2 separate regions of the Mus musculus genome follow, and region 2 is reported to be linked to region 1. Evidence: microRNA targets listed by miRTarBase, many of them from high-throughput screens and not tested one by one. Region 1 holds a microRNA gene; the other region holds the end of a gene's coding sequence.
What was found. Region 1 holds the annotated microRNA mmu-miR-505-5p (GGGAGCCAGGAAGUAUUGAUGUU, at 1,754-1,776, opposite strand). A microRNA usually pairs through its seed, bases 2 to 8, with sites in the 3' UTR of a target mRNA and lowers its output. Matches are read on the target gene's strand: a 7mer-m8 pairs with bases 2 to 8, a 7mer-A1 pairs with bases 2 to 7 and ends in A, and an 8mer does both.

Region 1 (5,389 bases):
TTTTATAAATTATAAATTTTATCATAGGAAACAAAGCACTGAACAACTCTTCCAGCTATGTTATGGACTAGATGTTGGTGACCCTTCCCTCCCAAATTTATATGCTGAAGTCTAGCTCTCATCATGATATTATGAAGAACTTTGGGGAAATTGATTAGGTGATGTGGGTAGAACTACGAGAAATTGATTAGTATTGGTCAACTAAAGTGAAGAAGAGTCGATGCCTCTCTCTTTGCAAGTGTCTACTTCACATGCTACTCAAGAGGCCAAAGCCAGGCATGACGATGCATGTCCACGATTCCCAACACTGAGAAGGGGGAAGGCAGGAGATTTGGGAGTTTGAGATCAGCCTGGGCTACCTGGGCTACATGCATCCCTGACTCAACTAGTCAGTATCAATCAGATACTTCATATAAAGATTGATCTTACATGTATATCTTCTATCTCAAGAACAGAGCTTGTACCGTATAATCCTCTATAGCCCTTAACAGGACATGAATATTCAAATAAAAGCTTATGACTCATAAAATATTGTCAGAAAAGAAATTTAAGCTAGTAGGCACAGTGGCATAGTCCTAGTTACTTGAAAGGCTAGGTCAATCCCTCCCCACCCATGTGTGTGTGTGTGTGTGTGTGTGTGTGTGTAAGAGGGGGGGAGGGAGGAAGAGAGAGAAAGAGAGAGTGGGGTATCAACCTTCAAATGTTACTTCAATACAAGGGCTCCAGCTTTGGTGAGTAGACTTCTAGAAATTCTCTGGTCTCAGCCTCTAATCTCCCAGTAGGAAAGGCTACACTGAGAATATGGACTTAATGTTTGTTTGTTTTGCTTTGTTTGAGACAACATTCCTCTGTATAGTCCTGGCTATCCTGGAACTTGGTTTGTAGACCAGGCTGGCCTCCAACTCAGAGATCTGCCTGCCTCCTAAGTGCTGGAATTCAAAGCTTTGTGACACTACACCTGAATGGATGACAAACTCTTGAACTACCACTTCTAGCTGGTTTTGTGGGTTCTGAGGATCTGAATCAAGTGCTTTTGTCCATTGAGCCATCTCCCCAGCCTGTTTTCTTTAAAATGAAAGGAAAATGAGCTGAAGTAAATTAAATTGTGCACTATACTACAAACAACTTAATCCACATTGCCACAAAGCAGATTAATTGTGAAGCTTAAAAGACATGCCCACTGCTCACACAACAGGTATACCTTATATAATCTTTTCTAGCCAGCTGTTATTTATTTGTGACAATTCCCTACTGGCTTCTACTCCCTGGTGATCTACAGGATTGCTGCAAAATTGTTACTTTTCCTTTACACCAGTAAATAGCATGAAACTTGAGACTAACCAGAAATATATTTCTGGGGATTTCCTTGATTATTCAACTCAAAACTAATCCCAAAATAAAAGAATAGTTACAAATATTGCCCTAAATTTATTATCCCAAGACTTTCTTTCTCTCCATATATGTATGTGTTACGTATGTATGTTTATTTATATATGGGGCTATTATAATAAAAATACTCATTAGTGTGCTTGCTATGTGGAATTATACTGCCTAAGAGGATATTTATACTTACTGCCTATGAACTAAGATATGTACAGGATGAGATGTGAGAAAGGTGCAAATGAATGTTGGAAAACATGGACAAATATATGGAACATGGAGATCTGAGCAGTTATAGAAGTACAAACAGAATCCACGAACTTGGTGATACTCCAGAGAGAAAACCAGCAAGTGTTGACGCTAACCTGGCAGAAACATCAATACTTCCTGGCTCCCCCACTGGGTGCATCAATTTACTACCGGAGGTTGCTCTTCTGCAAGTGACAAACAGGGAATGCTTTCAGCAATATGAAAAGAAATGACTCATTATGGGGAAGCATGGTTGTGGAAGCACTGAAAAGGTATGATTTCTATTAGTAGCATATACAGACTCAATCAACTCCAAGGCTGGCTAGCTTATTGACCTCGGAAAAGTAATTTTTTTTCAATGTCAATACCATATAGCACCCTTCAAACAAAGGTGAGATTTATTTCACAAACAATTGCAAATCCTTCATAATATGCATCTCCTCTCTCCCATGCTCCTAGTTTGGGATATTTGAAATGGAGTCCCCTATGGCCTAAGCTATAGCCTAGAACTCTGTATGTCTGAAGTTGGTATTGTTATCCTCCTATCACTGGGTTTGTTGGCATGTACCCCCATGCCTGGCCTATACATTCTTATATTCTTAGTACTAAATTCTAAGGATTATCCTGAATTCAAATAAATTACACTTACCACAGTGAGTAAAATGACATAAAGCAGATGGGCATGGTAGCACATACATATAATCACATCACTTGAGAAGCTAAAGCACGAGGATTCAGAGTTCCAGGCCAGCTTGGGCTAAAGAATGAGTACAGGTCAATCTGAACTATAAAGACAACTCTATCTCAAAAACAAACAAAAGTAACACAAAGCTCTGCTAGAGTTAACACTGCAGTTTTAGTCTTCAAAGTAGATTTGATGTATTAGTTGAATTAGAAAATGTGTTATCATAGGGCCCCCAAAAGAGGAGCTAGAGAAAGTACCCAAGAGCTGAAGGGGTCTGCAACCCTATAGGTGGAACAACAATATGAACTATCCAGTACCCCCCAAGAGCTCGTGTCTCTAGCTGCATATGTAGCAGAAGATGGCCTAGTCGGCCATCACTGGGAAGAGATGCCCCTTGGTCATGCAATCTTTATATGCCCCAGTACAGGGGAACGCCAGGGACAAGAAGTGGGAGTAGGTGGGTAAGGGAGTGGGGGGGAGGGTATGGGGGACTTTAGGGATAGCATTTTAAATGTAAATGAAGAAAATATCTAGTAAAAATTTTTTTAAAAAGAAAATGTTTTATCAACTGTACTTAACAAAAAAAGCATCCAAATGTACTTAGAATTTTAAAAGCTGAAGATAGTATATTAATTAGTTTTATGAAACACCAAGAAAAGGGAATGGTTTAAAGGTTCTCCTTCTGACGAATAGAAAAAAGTTTCAATAAAGGGCAAACTTTTTCTGGCCACCTACTGGGGTGCATAATTTTTTTCCTCATTCAAAATAATGGTGTAGCATTGTGGTGGTTTGAATATGCTGGGCCCATGGGCACTATTAGGAGGTGTGGCCTTGTTGAAGGAAGTGTGCCACTGTGTAGGCAAGTTTTGAGGTCTTCTTTAGTCCTCAAGCTCTACCCAGTGCAGATGAGTCCCTCCTCCTGGCTGCATGCAAGAGATAGTCTCCTCCTTGCTGCCTTCAGATCAAAATGTAGAACTCTCAGCTCCTTCTCCAGCACCATGTGTATCTGGATGCTATCATGCTTCCAGCCATGATGATAATGGACTGAACCTCTGAAACTGTAAGCCAGCACCTAATTAAATGTTTGCCTTTATAAGAGTTGCCATGATCACAGTATCTCTTCACAGCAAAGAAACCCAAACTAAGACACATACTATCCAATAAAAAGGATATTTTTTCTGCTATATGCTTTTATTAAAATAAAAAGCCTATTCTAAAACACAGAGGCCTCTTAGTGGCTGCTTTTTCAACTGATAACTAGACAGCTTTTGTTACTAAGTCAGTTCAAAGCAATTCAAAAGTACTTACTGAACATCTTATCTATAGTTTACCTGTGCTAGTGTAAAATCATTGTCAAGAACACTGTTTGAATTTTTTCAAGAATATATTGGTGAAGAAGACTGGACTAGGAAGACACTGCCACATTAATACCTCAAGATAATGTGGCCTAAGAAACAAATGATACCTGCTTGAACCAGGCACACATCTTCAACCCTCCCATATTCCATTGTAAGTATAGGGCATGATATCAATGATAGCCTATACATTAAAACTACAAAACAACGTCCTAAACCAGATATTCTTGGTCTAACACCATGCAAAAACTGCATCTTTTATAATCAAGAAGACAGCCAAACTGGCAATCCATCCATACACTGCAGTAATTGAGGGGCTGTCTGCCAGTGTGAATAAGGCATCCTGTGCCATATCTGCAGTGCTGAACACTCATTCATCATTAATCTGCAGTAGTATTATCATATGCTGCAGCTGTACTAATATATTTGCTTTATGATCACTGCTGACCTTCACTTACATCAGGAGAGGAAATAAATCTTAAGAGAGCAATAAACTTGTGAAGCACCCCGTTACCTTGGAAAAGTCAGAATTCTCTTTCATCCAACCAGAGAAAGCATCCCATTTCAGGGATTCCAGACATCAGAAGTTATCTGTTTTAAAGCACTACTCATGTACAGGAAACTCAAACAACATCAGAAAAAAAATGTGTTTATTTTGCATCTTATATGTCTGCCCTCTTTGAAAAAACTGATCAACCATGGTTGATAAGCAACCAGCCTTGACTTTTTTCCACTCAACAAAACAGTATTTGAATTGGCAAACCAAGCTAATTCTTTAAACATCATAAAGACAAAGGGCTTCTTCCAAGGGCCACTGGTCATACTGCCCCAGAGAGGTGGTTTAATACCCCTTCTGGCTTCCACAGACAGCAGGCACATACATGGTTCACAGACACAGACGCAGGCAAGATACCCATACCCATAAAAATAAAATTTAGAAAATACTGAAAAATAATCTGGCATACACTTTTAATGCCAGCACTCAGAAAACAGGTGGCTCTGTATGATTTAAAAGCCAGCCTGGTCTACTTATAATTTCCAACTCACTCAGGGCTACATATTAAGACCCTCTCTCAAAATAGAAAGAAAGAGAGGGAAGAAAGGAAAGGACAGAACAGGACTAGACCACTCCAGACCGGACTGGATTGGAACAGCGCAGCGCAGCGCAGCACAGAAGCCTAAAGGGATGGCTCAGCTTTAGAATACTACCTGATCTGGAAATGGGCCTAACGGCTATCTTTTCTACAAGCATTTGGATGGAAGCTGTGGAATAGAAGATTTACACATAAGATTGTTTTACCATCGTAAACATTTGAATAAATTTCTACACACACCCCAAAGACTGTGACAGGTTTTCCAGAAGATTCAGGCTCAGTATCTATATAGAGGCAAAGACATTCATACACTGAAAATAAGAATAAATTTAAAAGTGAAGGAAGAAAATTAGCAATAACACAAACAAAATCAACAAATGAGAAATGCTTACTGAAGGCATTTAGGAAACACTCTTAGTTTTGGACTGTTTAAATCAATAAAAAAATATGTCACTCACTCTCAGTTTTGGACTGTTTAAATCAATAAATAAATATTTCGGGCAGGAGAGATGGCTCAGCGGTTAAGAGTACTGACTCCTCCTTAGCCGGGCGTGGTAGCACACCCCTTTAATGCCAGCACTTGGGAGGCAGAGGCAGGCCGATTTCTGAGTTCGAGGCCAGCCTGG
Region 2 (5,389 bases), not on the chromosome of region 1:
TGTTTTGTTTTGTTTTTCGAGACAGGGTTTCTCTGTGTAGCCCTGGCTCTCCTGGAACTCACTCTGTAGACCAGGCTGGCCTCGAACTCAGAAATCCACCTGCCTCTGCCTCCCAAGTGCTGGGATTAAAGGCGTGCATCACCACCGCCCAGCTTGAAATATTTTTAAATATTTGTTTTAAACAAAGCACAACAACAAAAACTAAGCTTTTAACTGTAAAAGCAAGTGAAAATATCCTAACAGTCGTAGCGACCACAGGTATAGTTTGCACAGGATTCTTGGTACCACTGAAGCAGAGCAGAGACACTCACCCCAAGGCTGAGTCTAGAACTTTAGCACCTCAGAGTTTGCCTGTGTTGGTTATGTTTAAAGTCTTTCTCTAATAACTTGTCTTTGGTGTTTGTTTTTTAATACCAGAATTGTTTGAAATTGTATGTCAGGCAACTAGCCTGTCAGATGTCATTGATGGGATTGGGAAGAGTATAGTCTCTGTATTTCTTCCTCCTGTCATTTGGGAAGTTTCTATGGATTGTGGCAAAATTAAAAGTAAAGCACGGACAGTAACCAGTTAATCATCACTGAGAGTTCAGTAGGTTTCTCCTAACACTTTGTTCTTGTCACCAAAGCATGTTCTGGTTATTGTTAAGTTTCAGGCTCTTCTCACTGCTAGATTTACATATTTCAATAATTTGTTCTTCAATTTTCCCCAATCTTAGTTTCAGGCATCCTCCAAGAAAGGTATCAGTCGACTGGATAAACAGATGAGAAAGTTCACAGATATCAGGAAAAAAAGCAGATCTGCACATGCAGTGAAAATCAGCATCGAGGGCAATAAAATGCCATTGTGATCTTGCCTGGGACGTGTCCCCATCTCTAAAAGAAAGAAATGCACAGTGGACTATGGAGAAAGAAGATAATTTTAAATGTCTTAGTGTGTCTCTAAATGGTTCGATTTGTATCATCTGTTGTTGTAGGACTAACATTTCTCTCCGTTGTATTTAAGACCAGTTGTCTGCTTTGTACAGAAGAGTACTTACTACTCCTGCTTCTATCAACTGTACGTAATAAAATTTCATTATGGTTTTGGGGGGTTGTCTCATCATTGTCTTAGACACTATTCTCTGTGAGATCAAAAGCCAGTCCGTTTCAGTGTGTAAGTATGATATGAGGAATTTGTCTGGCCTTTGTTCCTGGCTCCTGACAAGGAATATCTCAAACCTTTACAATTCTTGAACTATCTTTGTTATACTCTTGATTTGGCACATCGTAGGGCCCTAAGTTCGCTCTAAGACTGGTCAGCAGAAATATGCTTGACCTAGTCGTATTGCCTGTTTGATTAACCAGCCATACCTTTGTATTGAAGCTATAGTAAAGAAAAGAACTCTGGACAAGTCAGGTGCCTTGCACACCTATAATCCCAGCATTTTGGAGACTGATGTTGAAATAAGAGGGTCATGAGTTTGAGGCTAGCCTGGATTACATGGCAAGACTCTTAACTGCTCTGGATACTGCAACTATGTTGATGTGCAAAGAGAACAAAGGCACAGAAGCTCTGCACCACCCTCCATACTACTCCTGAATCTTCATTGACCTGGTTGGCTTAATTTGTATCTTTTCTAATAAGATCAGTTATAAGTATAACCTTTTATTGAAAGACATAGTGCTTTTCCAAGTTCTATGAGTCATTCAGCAGGTTTTTAAACCAAGAAATTCTTGGGAACTTGCCTGGAAGTTTATAGCTACCCTGGAATTTTCATGGTCTAAAGATATCACTTGCAGTCTATGTCTGAAGTTGGGACAGTCTTGTGGAGGAAATCTGATCCCTAGAACTGTCAATTCTTACACTAACACCGAGCATTTGGTATCAGAATTGTGTTGTATACCACTGTATATGCCTATAATCTCAGCACTTTGGAGGCAGAGGCAGGAATTTTGGGAGCTCTTCCAACAATAACTTTGAGTTACTCAAAGACTGTTCAAATAAAGATGGTATCTCAGTAGAGTTGGAAATACAACAAGCATACTTTTTATTTCTCTTGTTAGAGATGCTTTGTTTGTTTAAATCTGAAGAGTTAAGCTGTGGGGAGAAAAAGTTAAGAAAATACAGATATAATTGAAAATTAGTTACATATAGCAATTGGACAAATAGAAAAAGGAGAAACTATTTATAGTTTCTTACTTGGTTTTGAGAATTCTTAATCATGAGAGATTTCTATAGATCAAGAAAGTTTTATCAGTAACTCATTCATTACTTAAGTCCTCTTCTAGTACAAACTGGAGCCTTGATTTAAAAAAATAGATTATTATTGGCCACAATGGCCTTTGGACAATTGAAGGAATGTGGACTTCATGGACTAGAACACTCCATAAGAACCTCTCAAGCCTGGTGTGGTGACACACACCTTTAATCTCAGCATTTGGGAGGGAGAAGAAGGCTGACCTCTGAGTTCATGACCAGCCTGGCCTACAGAGTGAGTTCCAGGACAGCCAGGGCTACACAGAGAAACCCTGTCTTTTAAAAAGAGAGAGAGAAAAAAGAAAAGAGCCTCATAAAGCCTCATTAAAGTACACTCAGCATGCAAGAGCAAATGGAGTGTGAAGCAGAAACCTACAGAGCCAACAGTTACAGACTAGGTGGTGGCAAAAACTACCTCTGGCTTTGTTTAATTTCATTAACTAAAAACAATAAAAGCATCTAATGAATTCAAAACAGTTCTGACATGTAAAGCAAGTTTTTAAGAGTTATTTTGGTGTCTTGGGATGAGCTTCACGTAACACCATGTTAATGGGAGTAAATATAACCAGCAGGTGATAAGCCCTTGATTGAAGGAGATGGTTCTGCACTACTTGAAGGGAAAGATGCTAATTTCTTTATAAATTACCTTTGCTGTGTGGATTGGGGGGGGGGGGTCCCCAAGCTTGACCCATTCATTGCCTTCATAGTTTCCATTTACTATAGTTTCTAGAACACTAAAATTAGCTCCCATTTACCCTTCAATATTTTTCAGTGTGCCACATTTTATATTCTATATCCAAGATTTCTTTTGCAGAGCATGTGAGTATAGTTTATCAAGAACCTTTGTTCTCAAGCTCCATATCTAAGCATATTTCTCTTAAAAACATGTTTTGTGGCGGGGCAGTGCACATCTTTAATGCCTGCATTCGGGAAGCAGAGGCAGGTGGATCTCTTGAGTTTGAGGCCATCCTGCTTTGATTGCATTTTAGGTCAGCAAGAGCTACACAGAGAAACCCTGTCTGAGAATAGAAACAACCCATGGTTTTTAGGGGCTAGATCATACAGCTCTGTTGGTAGAGTGCTTGCCTAGCACGCACTAAGTCTGGGTTCCATCCCCAGTACCACAAATATCTGGCCTGTCACCTTGCCAACCTGGCCTGGCTACATGGCAAGAACAAAGCCAGCCTGGGCTACTTGACAGTTCGTCTCAAGATTGGCCACATTAACTTTGACCTCTTGTATGGAATGCTGGGTAGTCACTTTTTGGTTTGGGTTGTTTTTTGGTTTGTTTGTAAAATGCTTTAATTTTGGCAAAAGATTTGTATCTTTACCACTTTTAACCATACAGCTTAGGTGCATTGACTGGGTTCACAGTGGTATGAGCCACCTTCATCTTACAAACTTTAGCTGTACTGGGCACAGTAGTGCACGTTTTTAATCCCAGCACTAAGCAGACAGAAGCAGGACAATTTCAGAGTTCAAAGTCATCCTAGTCTTTATAGAGAGTTCCAGACCAGTTAAGACTTGCATAGATCCTGCCTCAAACAACAAACACCTTAGCTCCTTCCACCAGCTCTTGACAAGTTCATTCTGCTTTCTGCCTCTGATTTAGACTATTCTAGGAACCTAGAATTTAATTTATGGGGGGAGGGGAACCATGGTATGCATATGGAAAATCACAATTTTATGGAGTTCTTGCCTTCGACCTTTATTTACTTGGATTCTAAGGATGAGACAGGTTGCAAGACTTTAGTGGCAAGGATTTTGACCATTTGAGCTATCTCACCAGCCTGTTTCTATGTATAGGTGATAATGCTTTGCCTTGTGCTTTTTTAAGTGACTTTTGTAACTTTGGCCCTACTGTTAAGTCTGATCCATTTGAGATAATTTTATGTTGTAGAAAGTTTACTTTTATTTCTGTACATCTTTGTTGAAAGACTGACCCTTACTGCTCTTGGATCCCTTATCAAAACGTATCTGACAGTATGAGGGTTTTCTTGTATATTTTGCTCCAGACTTTTAGTTCATTTTGTTTTGTTTTATCCTCATTATCCTGTTTTTACTTCAGGAACTTTATAGTAAAATTTGAAGTCAAGTAATATGATTTATTCACTCCAGTATTGTTTTGGTTGTTGGGATTCCTTGAAATGAAGGGGAAAGTGTGTATGAATATGTACGTGCCTGCCCCACAGCTGCATGTGGACGTCAGAAGACAACTTTCAGGAATAGGTTCTTCTTCCCCCTGAGTTATGTGGCTTGCACTGCCCACACTTTTACCTGAAGAGCCATCCTTCTGGGCCCCTCCACTTTTCCATTCGATATGTTTGGACTCTGGGCTTCTTTGAGGTTTTGTATGACTTGTCTGTATAGCTGTCATTGGGTTTTCAACAGAGATTGGGTTACATTTGCCTTTTGAGGAAGTCCTGAGTTTTAACAATGTTAAGTCTTATGGTTCTTAAACAGAACTGTCTTTCCATTTAGAGTCCATGGTTGAATTTATTCCTAAGTATATTAATTCCTTGTGATGTTGTTATAAATTGTTCTATTTTCCTAATTTTCATTTAGGATCATTGTTCATGAACAAATGCAACTGGCAATTTTACCTCTTCCTTTCCATTTGGATACCTCTCACTTCTTCCTCTTGCCTGATTGTTAGAATTTAGTATTGGGAGAATACTAGTGATGAAATGGGCATCCTGGTTTTATGGGACTAAAGAAAGGGCTTTGTCTCTCTTCACTGAGTATAATGTGGGACCTTCATGTATGGCTTTTACATTGTTGACCTTCCTTCTACTTTTAATTTATTCAGTTTTTATTACGACAATATTTGAATTTTATGAAATGATTTTTCTGTATCCTTTGAAATCACTGGTTTTTCTTTCATCTTGGTAGTGTATATTTCACTGATGTATGTATGTATGTATGTATGTATGCATTTTTTAAATTATACAGATGTACATATGCACAAGTGTCTGTCGGTGCATACATGCACACTGTTGTGGAGGTCAAAGGACAACCCTCTGGCATCATCCACCTTGTTTTTAGAGTCAGGATCTCTGACTGTCCTGGAACTCTCTAATTAGGTTTTATTCTTCAGATGTGTACCATCACATGACTTTCCACAGATCCTGGGGACTAAACATGAGTCTTCCT

Region 2: the mRNA of Iws1 is a reported target of mmu-miR-505-5p. Seed matches in the 3' UTR shown: 7mer-m8 at 1,192-1,198.

Annotation. Positions count from the first base shown.
Region 1 is chrX:60,392,698-60,398,086 of GRCm38, forward strand. It overlaps Mir505 (microRNA 505), which reads right to left and starts at 1,795; the gene lies at 1,706-1,795. All of the region lies in intron 1 of Atp11c (ATPase, class VI, type 11C), which reads right to left.
Region 2 is chr18:32,096,434-32,101,822 of GRCm38, forward strand. Iws1 (IWS1, SUPT6 interacting protein) reads left to right here. Exons shown (of 14, transcript NM_173441.3): 14 at 717-5,389. The coding sequence ends at 848. Among named protein-coding and RNA genes, the nearest start is that of Iws1, 31 kb to the left of the region's middle.